Ovis aries: one gene and its partners. The protein of the gene in region 3 interacts with the protein of the main gene of each other region in a pairwise test. Links are inferred from orthologs where the notes say so. Each region holds a gene or a part of one and is shown on either strand. Other genes may lie near its edges. The genes, in order: STX4, STX16, NAPB, STX6 and STX5.

Region 1 (4,285 bases), on a different chromosome or scaffold from region 3:
TCCAGGAGAACTAATATTCCTCTCAGCTATTCTGAGACTCACTGAGTGACTTTGGGGCATCCTTCTATAGAAGGTGGGTTCCAAAAGGGCAAGCCATTCTTGTCTGCCCTGTTATATCTCTGGCCCTAAAACAGTGTCTGGCCCATACAATAAATATCCACTGAATGAATAAATGCCTACAGGGTTAGGGTTAGGGAAGTGTCACCAAAAGCCTGAAGCATAAAAGAGAAGACCAGGGAATCATAAGCTTCATCTTCAGTTATATAAGAGGCTAAGACTCTATCAACAAATATTTACTGAGGGCCTAACATGTGCTGGGGTTCCTAGTTGGTTCAGTGGTAAAGAATCTGTCTGCCAGTGAAGAAGACACAAGAGATGCTGGTTCGATCCTTGGGTTGGGAAGATCCCCTGGAGGAGGAAATGGCAACCCGCTCTGGTATTCTTGCCTGGAAAATTGTATGGGCAGAGGAGCCTGGTGGGCTACAATTTGTGTGTGTTAGTCACTTAGTCGTGTCCGACTCTTTTGTGACCCCATGGACTGTAACCCTCCAGGCTCCTCTGTCCACAATCATGCCCTCACTTTAGTAACTCACAGGCCACGATAATATGTAATATTTTTGTGGGTTCCAGAGGGTAGACCCCCAGTGCAAGGTGGGGGTCTGGGGAGGGGGTTGTCTAAGTGACATGCTGCTCAATGTAACAGACTTTTTTCTAAGCCCGAGCTGCCCTGAAATGCCCTGCTCAAAGGTGGTGAGTGCAGCGGGACTGCAGTGTTCAAGCCGGGCGCCAGCCAGCCGCCCACCTGTCAGAAACTGTGCCAGGAGTATGCGGGAGAAGAGAGTTCCGCCTCGGGTGAGGTCACTTCCCACCCCCAGATGCTCTGCCTACAAAATCTCGCAAGTCTCTGACGCTGTATTTTATTCTTTTCTGAATTTCAAGGTCTCATGATGTTGACAGCTCCAAATTCTAAGTCCTCAGTCTGCCCACACTCGCGGACCCAAAAGAAAGGAAGCCGGATTCAGCCTGGGTCCTACCACCCACTGTCTCTGGGGGTAGTCAGCGCCCCCTCCCCGCCTCGCGGGGGTTCTGAAGAGAGGTAACTCGCGCGCGGGGTGCCGAGGACGTCGTGGGGAGATGGGTGTTCCAGAGATGGAGTTGACAGGGCAGAGACATGTGACAGTCGAAGCGTCACGTTCCGTGGTCTGAGAGGTTGGGACCAGGCCGGTCACATGACGCGCGCGGGGGGGTTTGCACTATGGGGTGATGCGAATTGAGAGGGCCTCACAGATCACGTACCAATGACGCATTCCCACCCCTTTTGGCAACTAGATTTCCGCTGGAAGATGCGATAGTTCCGGCAAAGGGGGCGGGTTCTCACGTCCTGGCAATTTCGCTTCCGTTCGGGGCGCTGAAGCTTCCGACCTCGGCCTTTCCCTGGGGTGGGGAAGGGACGCGATCCGGTGCGCATGCTCCAGTCTTTCCAGAGGGGGCGGGGCTGAGGCTACAGGAGAGGGCGGGGGGAAAGAAAAGGGAATTCCAACCTGTGGAATCTTGGGGGTCCCCGAGGTCGGCTCCTTCCCTTTGAAACTGTGAATGGTGCCAGGGACAGAGCCTCTAGCGACTCTTGGGGGAGGGTTTGGGGCCTGCAGGGTGAGGGCGGAGGGGAGTGTCAGAGTGTGAGTTGGGTACGGGAGTTCCAAACTTAGAATCTTGAGGCCCGCCGGGCTCCGGCGCCGGCGAGAGGGATCTCGGGCCGCCATGCGGGACAGGACCCACGAGCTGAGGCAGGTGAGAATTTGGCGCAGCAGGGTTGGGGACGGGTGGACGGGATGGGGTCTACTGGAATGCAGGACTCCTGGTCCTCGGGGCCGGGAGGGATGACTGTGGGCTAGGAAGGAAAGTCCCGGAAGCCCGTGAGTTCTACTGGGGGAGAGCAGTAGCAAGGAAGTGATGCCAGTGACCCCGGCCCTGGCAGGGGGATGACAGCTCGGACGATGAAGACAAGGAGCGAGTCGCGCTGGTGGTACACCCGGGTACTGCACGGCTGGGGAGCCCGGACGATGAGTTCTTCCAGAAGGTAAGAGGCTGGAGTCTCGGCCTGGATTCACGAGGGGCCTGGAGGGCCCGAGGAGCAGAGCAGCCTGGAGCAGCGCCCACATCTCCCTCAGCCCTCTCGGTCATCGTCCCCAGGTTCGGACAATTCGGCAGACTATCGTCAAGCTAGAGAATAAAGTCCGAGAGTTGGAGAAGCAGCAGGTCACCATCCTGGCCACGCCCCTTCCCGAGGAGAGTGAGTGAAACCCCGGGTGCAGAACGCATGCTCAGCTGGAGGCTTGTGGGGGTTGTAGTTCCACACAGGTGGTGGCCAGGGAGATTTGTTGAGGTAGAGGTTGCTATTTGGGCATCATGGCTTTCTCTTGTTTAGGCATGAAGCAGGACCTGCAGAACCTGCGTGACGAGATCAAACAGCTAGGGAGGGACATCCGCGCGCAGCTGAAGGGTGAGCTCCTAGGACTTTAGCCAGATACTTTCCTCTGATCCTGCCCAACTCCTGGTATTTCTGGGCAGTGTGTGGTCCAGAGAGGCCAGTGATATATATCCAGGTCACACAGCAGGCCAACGTCTAGAATCTCCATCTCCTGGCTTTCGGTCCAAAGTTCTTTCCACAGCATATGCCTGCCTCTCAAGTTCCCTTATTTATAATGAAACCATGTCCATTTGATCTTTGTCCAAGGCAGAGGTTAGCGTTGCTACCTCCACCTTCAGGTCGTTATCTGCATATAACTGTATAGTCTGCCGTCCACATCCCAGGTTCTGCAAGGGTGGATTCATGCAGTCATGGATTGTGTAGTACTGTAGTATGCATTTATTTTCTAAAAATTCAGGTATAAGTGGACCCACAGTTGTGCAAGGATCATCTGTACTCCTACAATTCTTGCTGCCCAGTGTGTATTCTTTGGGTGGGAAGATGTGGGTTTTGTTAGGAAGCTTCTCCAAACATGTGGGAATTCTCTGATGTATTTATTGCAAAGAAAAATATACTTTTGCCTGTCAGAGGCTCAAGAGTAGTCATTTATGATGAATTTTATTTCAAAAAAAAAGCTCTGTGGAGATATTGTATCTCTCTCTATTGTATGGCTGCATGGCTGGGTCCCAGTCCCCAAATGAATTTCAGAAGCCAGAGGTCAAACCCCCTCCTCTACCAATACTTCTGTGTCTTTCCACAGCCATAGAGCCCCAGAAGGAGGAAGCTGATGAGAATTATAACTCCGTCAACACAAGAATGAGAAAAACCCAGGTGGGTTCATTATTCCCAGAAGTAGGACATTTCAGCAAGTGTTCAATAGATCATTAGATGGCAGATGTAAGAAGGCAGGGCTCTTAGAGATCATTAAATCCAACCTGATGATTTTCCAAATGAGGAAACTGAGGCTCAGAGATAAAAAAGGATTTACCCCAAGGTCAAGAACCCGGGTTTCCTGACTTCCAATCTGTTATAACACCTTGCCTTCTTCTCCTCCATTCAGTGAGAAGTTGCTGAGACCCCAGACATGATCTGGGCTTGGTTGTAGGAGATATACTTTCTAGAAGCCAAGATGGGGAGTTAAGCTTGCATAGATGACAAAGACATTACTCAGGTAGGACTTGGTAGTTAATGGCTCTGCCCAGGGAAAAAAAGGGTGCAGTCAAGTGACTGGGTGGTTTCCTACCCATGTGATGAGGACATCCTCTGCCCCAAGGACAGAATTCAAGTCAGGAAGAGGAACTTCCCTGGTGTGTGTGTATGGGGAAGGTCACTGAATCATCATCTTAATAAGGAGATTTGAAATGGTCTGAGCAGTGTCCTCTGGGTGCCCAGAGAGGCATGGTTTGGAGTTCTTGGAGGTCAGAGTTGGAGTAGGTGGGCCCAGAAATCAGCAAAGACCCCAGATTGAAGATTAAACAATTTGGGGATTTTTTTTTTAATGGAAGAGAAGGAAAGAGTAGTTTTATTACTTTGCCAAACAAAGGGGGGAACACAGTAGGCTAGTGCCTCAAGAACTGCCCCCCCACAATTTGGGCATCTTGAAAGGGTGCAACTGAACCCAGGACAGCAGATGTGTCCTGGAGAAAGGAACTCCAAGGAATGAGCAGATTTTAGGCATCAGGAAAATGGACAAGCAGGGAAGGCATTTACAGGGGGTGGGGGGCTTGTGGTAGTCATTGTGTGAGAGGCTGAGTGCCCAGGTGGGCCTGCAAAATCTGGGAAATGCAAAATCCTGGCACACCTTTAGTCTAAGCAGGG
Region 2 (3,513 bases), about 16 Mb from region 3:
CAGTTTTGATACAGGACTGCTCAACATTATAGTCGATTCTATCAAGGACGGTACCCTGGGTGATAAATGACAGTCACAGACAATCAACAAGCGCAACTGGGAAAATGGAGCTTCAGAAATGAGAGATGCAGATTGCAGGCATCGTCATCCACAGGATTATCTGTTCTACTTGACTGTGAGGTAAAGGGACACCCTGTCAGCTCTGGAGTCCATAACAAGCAGAGAGAGGTGCTCAGTGGCAGAGTGCTGCCGTTAGCTGCAGGAAAGCCCAGCTCATGAGAAGAAAATACTGACAAATTGAGGTTTCTTTTTTGGATTTAGCCACTACAGGACACTCCATATTCAGGCTTACTGGGGCTTTAAGAAATATATGGTTCAGTGGAAACAGGCTCTGAGTGGTGAAGGGCTTGCTTCTGTGCCCATCTGTGGCTTAAACTCACAGGTTCAAGGAACCAGAGAAGGCCAGTTAAGCTGGACCTGATTAGAACGAGGTCTGGAAACTTACTATCATGTCTGAGCATCTCCACGCGCCTCCATGCGTCAAAGCAAACACAGCTGCCTCCAACACACCATGTAAAATCACACGTTCACCTCCAGGAGAGTTTTGCTTGTAATTTTTTAATTGCTGGGTTCAAACAGGAAGAAGGGAACACCAGGCTCCACGGAAGGATGGGGCTCTGAACAGAAGTGTGCTGTGTCAGGAGAGACGATAGCGCTAACAGTTCCATGAGAGCCACGGGAGTAATTAACCTAACTAGATCTTCCACAGCCTTGTCTGCTCCAGTCTGCAGCTGGTTCCGGGGGATCAGGACCCAAATCCCCACTGGCAAGATAATAAAACACCCTAATCAGATTGTAACAGTGAACAAACAATCTAATTCTACTTGAGGGCTAGTGGTTCCAGTTGCCGTTACACAATAACCTGCCAAAATTAGATGGGAAAACTTATCCATCGTCAGAATCACCGCTGAGCGTGGCCAGAGCCAGCCAGGCCCCCGGCACGGAGGCTCCTGGCAACAGCCCTGGGATGGAGGCAGAGGACGTGAGTACTGTCACTGACACCTGTTTCTCATCTAAAAAATAGTTTATTAGTATTTTTATGGGGCATGACAGCAGTCTGCATATAATTTGTACACATATATACATACACACATACATAGTGAGTTGGGAAAACTCCCTGGAGTAGGAAACGGCAACCCACTCCAGTATTCTTGCCTGGGAGAATCCCACCGAGAGAGGAGCCTGGCGGGCTATAATCCATGGGGTCACAAAGAATCGGACACGACTGAGCAAACACACTGTATATACACAGAAGGAATGGGTTCCAACTGCTTTCCTGACAAAAGTGCAGAATCGAAAAGCCTGGGGAAGAATGAGGTATCAGGGCAGGAGAGCCCACCGATGAGGCAGGTAAACGCACATACCTGTTCTACGATCATGGCTCCCAGGTCCCTAAATATCTCGTTCAGGTCGGAGATGGACTGCACGATCTGGCGGATCTCCCGCTCCCTCTCCTCCACCAGCAGTGTGTTCTGCTCCACCAGCACTAGCTGCTCGTCTGTAAAACCCTAGCCAAACAAAGAGGACGAAACGTGCACGTTAGATTTCTTCCCAAGAAAGTGATGGTGTACCATTTTAGATATAACTTAAAGAAAATAAAATCTGAAACCATTTCCATAGAGCACACAACACACAAGCACTTATTTTTTCCCTAACAAGAAAGATCTGATCTCCCTGAAACAGCAGGCTCTAAAGCATCACCAGCCAAAGCGGGGGATACAGAGAACCCCCTGTCAGCAGCAACCCCAGGGCCAAGTGGCAAAAGCACCAGGGAGAAGCCTGTGCGGCTCAGGGTTCTTCCTGGGAGTGGGGTGTGCAGACTGTTTTCCAGAAGGTTCTGGAAGGCAGCTGACAAGGTCTCCGTGCAGTCTTTAGAAAGGAAGAAACAGTATGGCCCCCATGACTGTTCTCCCGCCAGCTGCAGAGCACTTGACAGACGTGCACGCCATGCAGTGCCGATCCATCTGTGTCTCAGGGAAGTTAAAGGTCCGCAAAGAGAAGAGAGCAGAGCGGAGCGCACATGCGCAGTGGGCGGGTCTGTGGCCCCGACACATACCCGGTCATACAGAGTATTATCCTCGCCATCGTCCATCAGCGGCACTGATGTAGCAAAAAAATGCTGGGATCTTTCCTCTCGATTCTTCATGCCTATCGTGGACAGGAATTCACTTTACTTGAATACGTAAACCATCCTGGTTACTGTTCCACCATTAAAAGGGGGCATCTAGAGTAAAACTCAACAGTCAAAATGGAGACATTCTTGGCCACTTTAGAAGAAGCCCTGCTCACCTCCAGCAGAGATGGGGGACAATAAAGGACCACAACCATGCAACAGCAGGCAAGCACTCAGGGTTACTTAGGACAGAAATCACACTGCAAATGTGAATAATTCACTGGATGCCAGGTAAATGACACTGCAACACCATCATCTGAGACTCTCTAAGTGAAGCAGAAACATTTAACTGCTGTTAAAAAGCATTTAAAACATTAAGTATTTCTCTCTAAAAGTACCTCTGGTAAGAATTCCAAGTGGCCCTAATCAAATTTTAGAAGTAGCAAAATGAAAGCACAAACACAAATATGGCAGTTGTCGGGAGGGAGAACTAGCTTTTGGGGGAGCCTATGGGGATATCATTGATTACAATGGCAATACAGAAAAAGCCAGTTTATGGGTGCTCTGAATGAGGATGTAGCTGAAACCTGACTTTGCTCTATTTGGGAAGGAAGGGAGGCTGGGAGAGAATGTGTCTGTTTTAACTATTACCAGGTAAGGTGTTAAGACAGATAGGCAAAGAAGCTTCAACATGATTACAACTATTTTTACCCATTTATCAGCAGCTCCCGCAAGCCTAACACCTAGAAAACGACATGCTTTTAAAATATGCAACATTGATTTTCGAATACTTTAAACTTGACAAAAGAGTAAGTTTCTCTTTTGTTTTTTTAGAGGAGGACTGTCAATGCCCCGTGGGGTGGTCTCAACCTCGATGTGGCTACCACTGGGGGCAGAAGGAGCTACCTTCTACCTCGTGAAGTAGGAGGATATGCAAAGGCTAACCACGAAAAAAGCAAAGGACAAAACGGAGAACTAGCAGAAGAGGAGGACAGAAACACAGAGTTGTTCTGTGACCTGAGCACTGGGACGCTCGTCACTTGAGAGCCTGGCGCAGGTGGACACTCACGTCGGAGGTAGCTGGACTGTGCATGCCGGAAGCTGGTGGACAGCTCCTGCAGGGCCTGGGCCAGCGAGGCCACCACGTTTCGGAGGAGCCGCTCCTCCTGCTCTGAGCAGGCCCGGCGGGCCCGGCTGGGCAGCGCCTGTACCGCACGCTGACACCTATGGAAGAGCTGGGAGGACAGGGGGTGCTCACAGTGGGCCGGGGGCCCCGAGGTGCCTGCATGCCGGACTGAGACACACAGCGGCTCTGGCCACGCAGGCTGGCACTGAGGATG
Region 3 (3,513 bases):
ATGAGTCGGCTCTTCGCTTCAGGTGGCCAAAGTATTCAAGCTTCAGGTTCAGCATCGGTCTTTCCAGTGAGTATTCAGGGTTGATTTCCTTTAGGATGGAATGGTTGGATCTCCTTGCTGTCCAAGGGACTCTCAATAGTCTTCTCCAACACCACAGTTCAAAAGCATCTGTTCTTCAGGGCTCAGCCACCTTTATGGTCCATGGTCCAACTTTCACATCCATACATGACTGTTGGAAAAACCAGGATCAGATCCAGTAATAATATGTAAAAAGTGATCTTATCTAAAAAGACCTTTTCCTTTGTTTATCTGGGGACCAGATGTTCTAACCTTTGAAAGTTCCTTTCAGAGGAGTGTTACTGTTTATGTGACTGAAGGGGATATATGTATACCCTCACCCCTACCCTTGTGATCTCTTGCCTGGGCTGACATCTCCCTGCCTCTTGACTTTACCTGTTTGTTTTAATGAAGAAACCAAAGTAGCCCTGTTAAGTCTCTGGTCAGGCCATGTAATCTCAGGGCAGAGCCATAATCCCTCAAGGTGGCCTTCAGAGTCTAGCTGCTCTCCCATCCTCTCCTCACTCTGGACGCTTCTCCTACCTGCCCACTTCTTCCCTGGCTCCCCCTCTGACTCTCTGCCTGTGCTGTCCTCTGACACTGTCTTCCCCACCGTAGGGTGTGGCTAGTCCCTATTTTCCTCCAGGCCCTTCTACAAATGTCATCATCCTCTTAGTGAGGTCTCTCCTGGCCATCCCTGGCGGTCCACTCTCCTGGGAAGCCCCTTCCCCTCTTCCCTGATGCCCTTACCACCATCTAGCAAAAATAAGTGAAGTCCATTTGTTTGTTTGTATTGTCTGTGCTTTTAGTATGTGCTATCCCTCCCTGGAACATAAACCTTGGATGACCAGCGTGTTTCTGGAAGCTTTCTCTCTGCCCTGCCTGCAGGGCCTGGACCCATATGTGCAGCACAGTAGACAGGTGCTCAGTGTATTTTACAGAGTATTAGGTTCCTTGAATTTGGGACTAACAGATACCACAGTTTATAAAATAAACAACAAGGACCTACCGTATGTCACAAGAAACTAAACTAGGTATTTTATAATAGCCTATAAAGGAAAAGAGTCTGAAAATGAATATATATATACACACACACACACACACATATAACTGAAACCGTTTGCTGTACATCAAACTAACACAACATTGTGAATCTACTATACCTCAATTTTAAAAGTGGTTAAAAAAGGAAATAATAAACTGAAAGAAAATTAGGTTCTTTGAAATTGTTTCCATGTTGTGGTGGTAGTGATCATGATACCACTGCATCTCATCTCTTTATAGTTTTAGAAGTTATTTTATGAGGATAAAAGAATTTGTCTGATTTGTCTGCTACTCTGCTCTTGAGAGGTCATCCTGGCAGGAATTAGATGTTTACAGTTGAGGAAACTGGGTCTGAGAATGTGTGTAACTTTATTTTAATAATATGCTCCTTTAAAGATACTTCCACATTGGTAGAGACAGAGGTTAGTGGTGTTTGGACTGAGTGCTCAGATTGAAAAGGTGAGTCAGCAGCTTGTTTTGGAAGGTGGGAGCGTGAAATTGTCAAAGCAGTGCTTTCAATACTGTCCGGGGAAGTGGAGCCAGCCCAGGAGAGCCTGCGTGCTGTGCTGTTACCCCCAGCCAGGAAGGGATGGAACACCATTGGTTCTGGGATGGCCAGCATAGATAAACTGTCAAAAAATGAAATTACTGGTGGGAGGAGGAGAATTAAGTTGTAAAATAAATGATGACATTTCAACCTGGCAAAGCACAGGTGTGCTCTGAGGGCAGATATACATGTAGTTATGGAAATGGCCAGCACGTGAATGTGTTTCTGGGGCCACGCTGTCCTGAGCACTTTGCCTAGGAGGTCCGAGTGATGCTACACACTTCTGAGACCCAGCTCATCAGAGCTGCTCTTGGGCTGTTGCATTCCTGAGCTGTGGTGGGAAGTTTCCAGCTACCCGGAGGTCCTAGGTACCTGCCCACCACTTGGCAGCAGCTTGGACCCTCCTCTGGGCTGCCAGGTTCATGATCCACAAAGGTAGGGGTCAAGGCCTGGTGGGCAGGCTTCTCCAGTCCCCCCTCCAATCTTGGGCCAGCGTTGGCTCAGACTGCCAGGGCCCAGGCTACACTGGTGGGTCCATATCTTCAGAAGTGCCCGGAAGTCCTCTTGTCCTGTGCAGAGCAAGACTTGAAGCGGGGTGGTCTGATCTGGGGGCTTGTGATGCTGCTGCTGCTTGTGTTGCCATTTCTCCGGCTATGCCGGCCGAGTCAGTAGAAATGGATCCTCCCAGCCTCATGCCTCCTCAGAGACGCCCATCAGTGTGGGGCCTGCACTGGGGACGGAGCTGAGTGCTAAGTGCGCAGTCAGTGTGGACGGAGGCCTGAGGCTGAGAGCAGCGCTTGTTGCTGGCCCATTGGGTCCCAGGCATCTTTGTGGCCACCGGCAGTGACCGGGTCACATGCACGTGTGCCACTGTCAGGACGGGGCCTTCCCCAGGCGTGGGCTGGAGTGGGGCTGCCCCGGGGGTGGCTGCTCCTGTGTTGACTCACTCATGTGTCGTCTTCAGCTGCAGGAAATGCATTCTGTCAAGCCGCCAAGCTCCACATGCAGCTGCAGAGCAAACACGACTCAGCCACCAGCTTTGTGGACGCCGGGAACGCCTACAAGAAGGCGGACCCCCAAGGTGAGCCTCGCACCCCCAGACCTCCCACGAGTTCTGCTGCTGGAGGGAGACGCACTCCCCAACTGTGGAGATTTGGAGATTTTTAACCCTGATCATCTGAAGTTTCTGTGGAGAAACTCTGTTAAATTTATCCTGTTGTCAGTACCGTCTTCTGAAACACCATCTATGCTGCATTGTGGACAGTTTTTTGGAAATTAACTTTATCTAAGTCTTCTAATGTTAATTTCATGAGTGTGTACCTTGCCCACTAAGGGAAACAAAGGTTCGTTCCCTTACTTCTGAATAGTTTATGTGGAGATGCAGTGAACGGGAGGTCGTAAAATCCAATAATTACGAACAGTTTATACACACAGCATTCATCTGACTTTTTTAGTATGTGTGCTGCCAAAGCAAGTACTATCTGACTGTATTAAAAAGCATTTTTCCAAGTGTTGGTTTTGAGGAAAGAATGATCTTGGGTATTTGAAGTGGTGAAGTTTTTCAGATGTCCTTTGTTTTTGAGGTGGAGAAGCGTACACTCTGCAGTTGAAGGCCTGACCTCGCTCCACACATGCCCTGTGGTTGTGGGATCGCCCTCCTGTTTCAGCAGCCCATTTAACACAGAAATCCCGAGTTTCCTGACAATCTCACACTGAAATAAGGGCTGTGGTATAAGGATTAGCTGTAGTTTATTTCCAAAGGGGAAAACTGGGCACAGCCCGCATGCACAGTAGAGTCCTTGCACATCAGCATTTAGTGCCACGCCCGCGTGGTGCAGGCACTCAAGCCCTGACGTTCGGGATGC
Region 4 (4,193 bases), on a different chromosome or scaffold from region 3:
TGACTGCCGAACTACACCAGCCTGACTGTGGCACTAAGTTTTAAATTTTAATTAATTTAAAATTTAAAACTGATACTCAAATGCACTTACCAAAAATTTTAAAAATATACTTGGAACAGTTTGGGTATGTGAATCTACTTTTTCAACTGTAAGTTTAACGGATTCTAAAAACAGATCAAGTGTCTCTGATGAAAATTCAGCATCCAAATTGAGATGTGCTGTAAGTGTAAAACACACACCAGATTTGAAGACAGCACAAAAAGGGTGAGAGTCTTCGTTAATAATCTTTATAATTATCATGTTGAAATATTTTGACTATATCAGGTTATCGATGACATTAAAATTAACTTTACATGTTTTTCACTTTCCCTGTGTCTACTAGGAAATGTAAAATGGCATGTGTGGCTCACACTGCATTCTGGAGAACACTCGTCCAACAAAACCAAGGCAGACGCAAGAGGAAAGAGACTGGAAGCAGGAAGACCAATTAGAAACTCTTCTTGATGAGTCCAGGAAAGACACCCAGGACTGAATCACCTAAGTGATACCCATCTTCAAAACCCAATTCAAGACCTGCTACTACGTCCAAAGCTTTTCCAATTGTAACCTGTCCTAATGGGATGCCTTTCTCCAAACTACTAGGGGACTTAATCATCTGTAGGATTCACTTCAGCACTTAACCATTTCCACCAGTCATTTCTACTTAATTATTGGGTGACTTGTTTCTCAGATTAGACTACCAGCTCCTAGGCTAAAGGTCACAATTTAGGCTTCTTTCATTTTTCCACATCATGCAGTGAGTGTATTTTCAAAACTTTTAATAAACAGAGGTACATGGCTCCCCATATATTTCACCACATTATCTGGAGACATGTAGTTAATTTTACTTCTCCATAGCAAAAGGTTTTAATATCTTAAAGATATGAGCTAAAACAATGTACAAGTCAAACAAGACTCCTGACCAATGTTCCAATAAAGCAGTGATATCTAATCAGTGAGCAAGCCCTGGCAAACTGTACTATCAGGAAAAAAAGTCAAGATGGCAGAGCAATTTAGCATTTTCACAAATTCCATTTTAAAATGAAACAAAAAATTTTGATTATCTACAGCCTCCACTGCCAGACATAACCTTTGAAACCTAAGAATTAAGAATGTTTAAAGGAAAAACACACAGCTTTCACATTTAAAAATTAACCCCTAAAAAAAAATCAATTCTTCTAATAACATTTTCCAGGTAGAGATCTATGTATTATTAATCATCTAAACTCAGATTTTCCCACCTAAAGTCAGGTAAAGGCAAAAATATTTAGGGAAATGTTAAAATATATATAAATGTATCTTACTGTATCATGGATAATAAAGTATTTCACCTAGAGTATCACTTAAATTTTCTTAGAAGAACCTTTAAAAAAAAAAAAATCACATACACCCTCAAGCAACTGGTCAGCTTTTACCCTTACAGAAATAGAAATAGGGAGCTAGGAACTAGCTGAAAGCAAAGCAGTACTTTAGGGTGATTAGCACTGATCTCTCAGGAACTTTGCAGTTCTCAAATTTTTAACGTGTTTGACATTTAAAACAAAAGTTGTAACAACAAGATCCATCTTCCCTGAATTTGTTTAATGGCTACAAAGCCTATGTAACAGAGTGCCAAGTTTCTGGGTATCTGCAAACAACTGAGCAATCAAAGATGGAGTCACGACAGCTCACAGAGAAAAATAAGTTTAAGGCTATTCGAGTCTGAAAGGCAGAGGAAGAAATGGGGGAAACCTGTCAAACAGCCTGGATGAAATCAGGGAGTTAAAAAGCAAGCGCTCATTTCCTTTAGCACTGTGGGAAAAACCCAGTGCTAACAGAAAGCTAAGGAAAGTTTAGTTTGGCTGATTTCATTTTGTTTTCCTTCCAACATCATCACTGAGTTTGAACGGCTGCTTTCCTCCCCTCCCATTACTCAGTAAAAACTCCCCCACTGAATTGAGTCGTCTTCCGGAGCCAGGCGCCCCCGCCTCCAAGCCTGCTAACGTGCTCAGACGCCTCTGGGCATGTTGTGGTCTCACCAGTCTGCGGGGCCAGCGCTCCGAACTCAATGGACAATAGGAGCTCACCCCCGTCTACGCCAACTACAAAGCTCAGGAGGGCCATTTCCCTTTTCCTGCCCAGATGCTGTTTTTCCCCCTTCGAAGCAGGGCCCCGTGCTCCACTAAAGCCCCAGTTTGGTCTGGGACGCCTAAGCTCCCTTCCCACCTGCAGAAATGCTGAACCCCTCCTCCCGTTCAAACAAGTTATAGGGCAGCGCACAGGCCAAAGGGGACCCCCTTCCCAGGGGCTTGACTGGGGGCGTGGGTTTCAAAGTTCAGGTAGGACGGGAAAGGGAGGTCTCTGGACACTTGATCATGGCCCTCCAGGCTAAGCCGTCCCCACTGTCCCCACGCCAGCCTCTACTTGCCTCCCATCCCCCCTACAACGAGGAGAGGCGGGGAGGTGCGGGCAGGCAGCACGGCCACCGCCTCTTCCAGTGGAGCCCTCGGCAACACTCACCCTTTCACCACAAAGAAGGGGTCCTCCATGGACATGGCGTCCCGGCCCCCGGCCGCCTCACGTTTGCTCCGCGCACAGGGCGCCCGCGCCCTCCAAATTTCCCTCTGCCCACCCTATGCGCCTCGCGTAGCGGCCCGCGCCTCGGCCTGAGGGTCCCGAAGCCTCTGCGCGCGCAGGGCGGGGTGCACCGGCCAGCCGCTGGTCCAGCACTCGATGGGCACTGCAGACCAAATCCAGACTCTGGAGCCGGCCCCGCGGCTGTACCCTCCCCCGACTCCTCCCGGAGCGTCCGGCCGCCTGGCTCCGCCCCCAGGTTCCTCAGCCTCGGCCAATCACGAACGCCATCCGCCGCACCACTTCCGCACCCGTGCACACGTGATCACTGCCGACCCCGCCCCTCGTTGCCGGGTCCTAGGCACCTTGTCACACGACCCTGGAGGCGGGGCTCTGGGGGCGGCGGAAGAGGGCGGGTATTCTCTCCACTCGCCCCTCAGGATTCAGGGGCCGGAGCTGCTTGTCCCTACGCGGGAAAGGCATTCAGGTGTCCTAGGTATGCATTAGTATCTCCTTTGCATAATTCTTTCACCTTTCCTCTACTTTTGATACTTGATTTTGAAAACATATTGATTTAGAAATCCATCTCGTCCTCCACTTACAATAAAGCCTGCTCGTATACATTATCTGACTATATTGCACAACTTTATGTAGGTCTTACTATATCCAACAATGCGCTGAAGGCTGTATGTACATCATCTCAATATTCTTGGGGGGAAGGTATTATTACCATTTAGTAGATGAGAAAAGTTCAAAGAGGCTTCGAGATACAACCTGGACAGGGCAATCAGAGAATCTGTGCACTTTCCACCAGACGGCTGTGTTTTCTATTGCTGTGTACCTTTCTCGAAGTGACCAGTAAGATAATTTTTTCATACAGCATGTGATGCTTCCCAGGAGAAAGAACTTTTGAGGGACAAAGGAGGGGCCAGATATGGCAACTTCTTCTGAGCTAAATGGTTCAAAAGCACTTCCCAAAAGTATTTTGGTCAGAACAGTTATCAAATTCATATGCTAGATATGCTATGGGGTTTGTGAACATTAATTGCTGATTATCTTTGAGCACTTCCTGTATGTCAGGCACTGTGCGAGTGTTATCTCAGTTGCTCTCAGGAGGTAATTACTGTTGTTATCCCCATTTTACAAATGAGAAATCTGAGACTCTTGCAGGTTAAGTGACTTGCTTAAAGTACCAGTCTTTTTGGAGATGGAAGAGTCCTTTGAACCAGACAAATCCTGTTTGAACCTGAGTTCTGTTATTCAGTCCCTCATCTATAAAGCGTGCACAATAATATTTAGCTTGTGGATCGTTGTGAGGGTTAAATAAAAATGCACGGAAACCCCAAGGCCCCAAGGAAGTAAGGCAGTGAAGTCAGGGAAACTAGTCTGGAAGCTGCTGTGGTCATCCAGCCTGAAGGGCTGAGGACCAGAATAGGACAGCAGAGCAATTGTAAATGGAGAGGAAGCAGACAATCTGATAGGTATTTCCAAGGAAAAACAAAAACACCTAGACGTGGTGAAAGGCTGAATGGGGTTAAGGGGGAGAGAGGTGAAAATCAGACTCCAGGCTTCTCTGAGACCCTGGAGGAGCAGCTGAAGGA
Region 5 (3,750 bases), on a different chromosome or scaffold from region 3:
GTCAGGACTGACAAGCATATTGACCTTCCAGGGTAGGGTAGGTATTCCAGGCAGATCTCTACTTCATTCTCCTGTGACTGGTTTGGATTTGGTGAGGGGCTTCAAGAGGGGACCAAGAGCCTCAGCTGGAGCTGGGAACAAATTCTTCACCTTTCACTCCTGGCAGCAGGCAGAACTCCTGCTTCATCCAGCCCAAGGAAAACGGTAGGACTGGAAGATGCAGATGAAACAGGTCCAAATACTTCTGGAGATGGTCCTAGAAGTTACCACTAATCAGAGACCCACTCTGGGATCGTATACCCTGCTTTGAAGGGAATTTTCCATGATAATTAAGTACTGCTGCACTGGGTTAGGCCTGCTGGAAGCAGCTGTGTATACAGAGCCCAAAGCCTGGCCCCTCAGGGTCATCAGTCCAGCCCTTTCAGTTGTAATACTGGGCAGCAGGCTCCCTCCATTTCTGCCTAGGCCCTTCTTCGGCGCTCCCACCCAGAAATGACGACATGGCTAGTGAGGCTGACAGTCTTGCTGTAATTGGGAGAAAACGGGCTGCAGCACGTTTGGCAGATTGAGAGTCACCTGCAGCCAAAGTTGGGGTTGTGCAGGCCGCCGAGGGGCTCAGGGCCCCCTGCCTCATGTCGTGGAGAGGAAGAAGTCAAATTCTAACCCAGATGGGAAAGTTGGTCCCTGGGGCAGTTTCACTTCCTCTCCTTGCTCTCAGGAAGGTGGGGAAAGGCATCATCTCCCCTTGCTGCCAAAGTTCCCTTTGCGACAGGCTGGGGAGGGTTTATAAAAATCTCCTGGTGGAGACAATCTCCCGGACGAGCCCCTCAGTTGGCCTCTGCTCCTTTCCAGCCACTTCACAGCAGAGTCCAAATCCAGAACCGTGTGTGTTTCATGGGCTGGAGGGTGGTGAGGGGAGGGCTGGGTGGCCAGAGGCAAGGAGTGGGGGACCGAGGGCAGTGGTCATTCTTAGCAGTTCCAAGGAAACAGGGCCCTTCTCCCAAGCACCCTGCACAGGCTCAGTGGCAGCTCTGGCCACCTGCCCTCCCAGAAGGGTTCCAAACCCCCATGGAGTGCCTCAGAGTGGAGAGGGTTCAGGCAAGGAAGACCACGAAGATGATGAAGAAGACAATGAGGATGAGGAAGATTTTGACCATGAGCCACCGGTTGGACGTGACCGACTGGAAGTACTTGAGGATCTCTGAGTGGGCGGCCTCCACGTCCAGCTGGGCTCCCAACACATTCTCGTCGATCCTGAGGATAGGTTCGGGAGGAGGGGAAAGAGAAGAATGTTGGATTAAAAAGACTGCTGTTGAATTTTATTTTTTATGTATGTATATATTCTTGCCTAAAAAATCCCCTGGATAGAGGAGCCTGGCGGGCTATAGTCCATGGGTCCCACAGAGTCAGACACAACTGAAGTAATTCAGCATGAACACATAGAGGAAAAAGCTCTGGAAGGGTAATATAACAATTCTTGGCTCTGCAACTTATTAGCTAATGAACCTAAGCCACTCATTTAACCTCAAGTCTCATTTCCCTCAACTGCAAAGGAAGAAAAAACGAGATAATATAAATCCTAGGTTCCTTGTCAGGCCTAAGCGAGTTATATAAAAGTGCCCAACCCATACTAAGAGAATCCAAAATGTCTACATAACTTTTTGCTCATCGGTATTTACTAATTTTTGTCTAAGTAACAATATGTGGTCAGTTGTGTCCAACTCTTTGCAACCTCATGGACTGAAGCCAGCCAGTCTCCTCTGTCCAGGGGATTTTCCAGGTAGCAATACTGGAGCTGGTTGCCATTTCCCTCTCCACGGGATCTCCCCAACCAGGGCTTGAACCTGTGTCTCTTGCGTCTCCTGCATGGGCAGGCCACTAGGGCCACCTGGGAAGCCTCTAATAAACAGTACTGATTTGTAATAAGGGGGGAAAGGTTACAGAAAATCATGGTCAGGAAACCCTTATTCTAAGTGAGAAAGGAAGAACCTGATGATATGGACAGAACATCAAGGGATGAGAAAAGCCCTATATTAGAACATGTCTCTTAGGATATAGAGAAGCCCTCAGAAGAATGGCAATCACTTGAGACATTGCTGAGGAAAATCAAACATTTCCCAGCTAATCTGCATATACAATCCTAAAAACCAAATATAAACCCTGGTCTTTGCAAAGGGAGTCACTGGAAGCAGGGACCTTTAGGAGCTGTGAGGTCAGAAAAGTTGGTGGAGCCTGATAATCAAGGAAGAAAGTGAGAGGAAAGGCTGGGCCACTGGCTGCAAGCCCAAGTTCCTGGTAAGGTGGTCAGGAGAATGACAACCTAATCTCTGTCCAAATGCAGAAGCCTGGATTCTACATGACTCCCTATTTATGTCAGAGAGGCTAAAGTATTAGGTTCCCTAGTTTTTGGTATAATTACATTTCTCAGTGTGGATGCACTTGTCATCTCATACCCAATAAAGCTCAATCATATTGGCAATTATAATGGCTTCACTTAACAAAAATGGAAGAATGATGAATGCAATCTGGCATATAAAAGATTTTAAATGGGAGTCTGTGAATGAAAACTAGTGCAAGGGAAGAAGTTACTATCACTCAATAGTAATTTTAAAGAGAGGAAGTTCCTTCTTTATGGAAGAATATAAGCTAATTAACGTAGAAGAAATGAGCAAATTAGAAAATGACCATTTTGCCACACACACTCTCAAACAAATCAGACAAGGATCACCAGCAGGCCGATAAAGAGGTAACCTCATCAAGTGCTTCCTGATGTGATCACCTACACAGCCGGCCGAAAGTACTGAACTTAATCATAGGGACAAACAGTGCACAGAGGACTCAAAGTGTCACTCCACTGATGACTTAAGTCTGAGTGTCACCACCTTGAACAAGAGACCAAACAGGGTATCACCAATAAAGAGAACCTCATCAAGTGTCTACTGATATGACTGCCTACAGGGATGGCTGAAACTACTGAACTTAATTTAATCAGAGGGACAAACATCGGACAAAAACATGTCTATGACTTTGTATAAGAGGTACTGGTCTCTTAAAAACAAAGTAAATTATCACACACACTCAAAAAGGCAGACTAAAGAGACACAACAATTCAATGTATGAATGTTGTCTAAATCTTAAATTGAAAGGAAAAGGCTAAATTTTTTTCGAAGAGTTGGGGAAATCTGAGTATGGATTGATTATTGGGTTGTGTTGGAGAAGTGTTCAATTTCTTAGGTTTGATGGTGGCTCAGAGGGTAAAGCATCTGCCTGCAATGCAGGAGACCCAGGTTCGATCTCTCAGTTGGGAAGATCCCCTGGAGAAGGAAATGGCAACCCACTTTAGTGTTCTTGCCTGGAGAATCCCATGGACAGAGGAACCTGGTGGGCTACAGTCCACGGGCTCGCAAAGAGTCGGACAGGACTGAGTGACTTCACTTTCACTTCATGATATTGTGGCTGTTCAGGAGAAATACTTATTCTTGGCAGATGCTTGCTGAAGTATCTGGGGATAACACACGATGTTTGAAAAAACTGTCATGATGTTTGCACCTACTTTTTTTTTTTTACATGCACACAGCCTTGTTTATTTATTGTTCTTTATTTGTTTTAAAATATTTATTTGGCTGCACCAGGTCTTAGTTTCGGCACGCAAGATCTCTTAGTTGCAGCGTGTGGGATCTAGTTCCCTGACGAGGGATTGAACCCAGGCCCCCTGCACTGGGAGTGCAGAGTCTTAGCCACTGGACCACC

Evidence for each region.
Region 1: the proteins of NAPB (region 3) and STX4 interact in binary tests that used the Homo sapiens proteins (3 or more experiments, as listed by UniProt). The two-hybrid records come from large-scale screens. The link is inferred for Ovis aries from reciprocal best matches to the Homo sapiens genes NAPB and STX4.
Region 2: the proteins of NAPB (region 3) and STX16 interact in binary tests that used the Homo sapiens proteins (3 or more experiments, as listed by UniProt). The two-hybrid records come from large-scale screens. The link is inferred for Ovis aries from reciprocal best matches to the Homo sapiens genes NAPB and STX16.
Region 4: the proteins of NAPB (region 3) and STX6 interact in binary tests that used the Homo sapiens proteins (3 or more experiments, as listed by UniProt). The two-hybrid records come from large-scale screens. The link is inferred for Ovis aries from reciprocal best matches to the Homo sapiens genes NAPB and STX6.
Region 5: the proteins of NAPB (region 3) and STX5 interact in binary tests that used the Homo sapiens proteins (3 or more experiments, as listed by UniProt). The two-hybrid records come from large-scale screens. The link is inferred for Ovis aries from reciprocal best matches to the Homo sapiens genes NAPB and STX5.

The regions. Positions count from the first base shown.
Region 1 is NC_056077.1:27,673,195-27,677,479, forward strand, and holds the start of STX4 (syntaxin-4), read left to right. Parts: upstream 1-1,473; 5' UTR 1,474-1,758; coding exon 1,759-1,788; intron 1,789-1,975; coding exon 1,976-2,077; intron 2,078-2,190; coding exon 2,191-2,290; intron 2,291-2,425; coding exon 2,426-2,500; intron 2,501-3,002; exon of another isoform or gene 3,003-3,227; coding exon 3,228-3,298; exon of another isoform or gene 3,299-4,285. UniProt on the Homo sapiens protein: Plasma membrane t-SNARE that mediates docking of transport vesicles. Necessary for the translocation of SLC2A4 from intracellular vesicles to the plasma membrane.
Region 2 is NC_056066.1:57,386,933-57,390,445, forward strand, and holds part of STX16 (syntaxin-16), read right to left. Parts: intron 3,409-3,513; coding exon 3,243-3,408; intron 2,209-3,242; coding exon 2,117-2,208; intron 1,569-2,116; coding exon 1,425-1,568; intron 824-1,424; coding exon of another isoform or gene 806-823; exon of another isoform or gene 699-805; intron 693-698; exon of another isoform or gene 506-692; intron 56-505; coding exon 1-55. UniProt on the Homo sapiens protein: SNARE involved in vesicular transport from the late endosomes to the trans-Golgi network.
Region 3 is NC_056066.1:41,614,630-41,618,142, reverse strand, and holds part of NAPB (beta-soluble NSF attachment protein), read left to right. Parts: intron 1-2,612; coding exon 2,613-2,729; intron 2,730-3,513. UniProt on the Homo sapiens protein: Required for vesicular transport between the endoplasmic reticulum and the Golgi apparatus.
Region 4 is NC_056065.1:61,535,941-61,540,133, forward strand, and holds the start of STX6 (syntaxin-6), read right to left. Parts: upstream 2,801-4,193; 5' UTR 2,574-2,800; coding exon 2,539-2,573; intron 1-2,538. UniProt on the Homo sapiens protein: SNARE promoting movement of transport vesicles to target membranes. Targets endosomes to the trans-Golgi network, and may therefore function in retrograde trafficking.
Region 5 is NC_056074.1:37,649,238-37,652,987, forward strand, and holds the end of STX5 (syntaxin-5), read right to left. Parts: intron 1,255-3,750; coding exon 1,095-1,254; 3' UTR 509-1,094; downstream 1-508. UniProt on the Homo sapiens protein: Mediates endoplasmic reticulum to Golgi transport.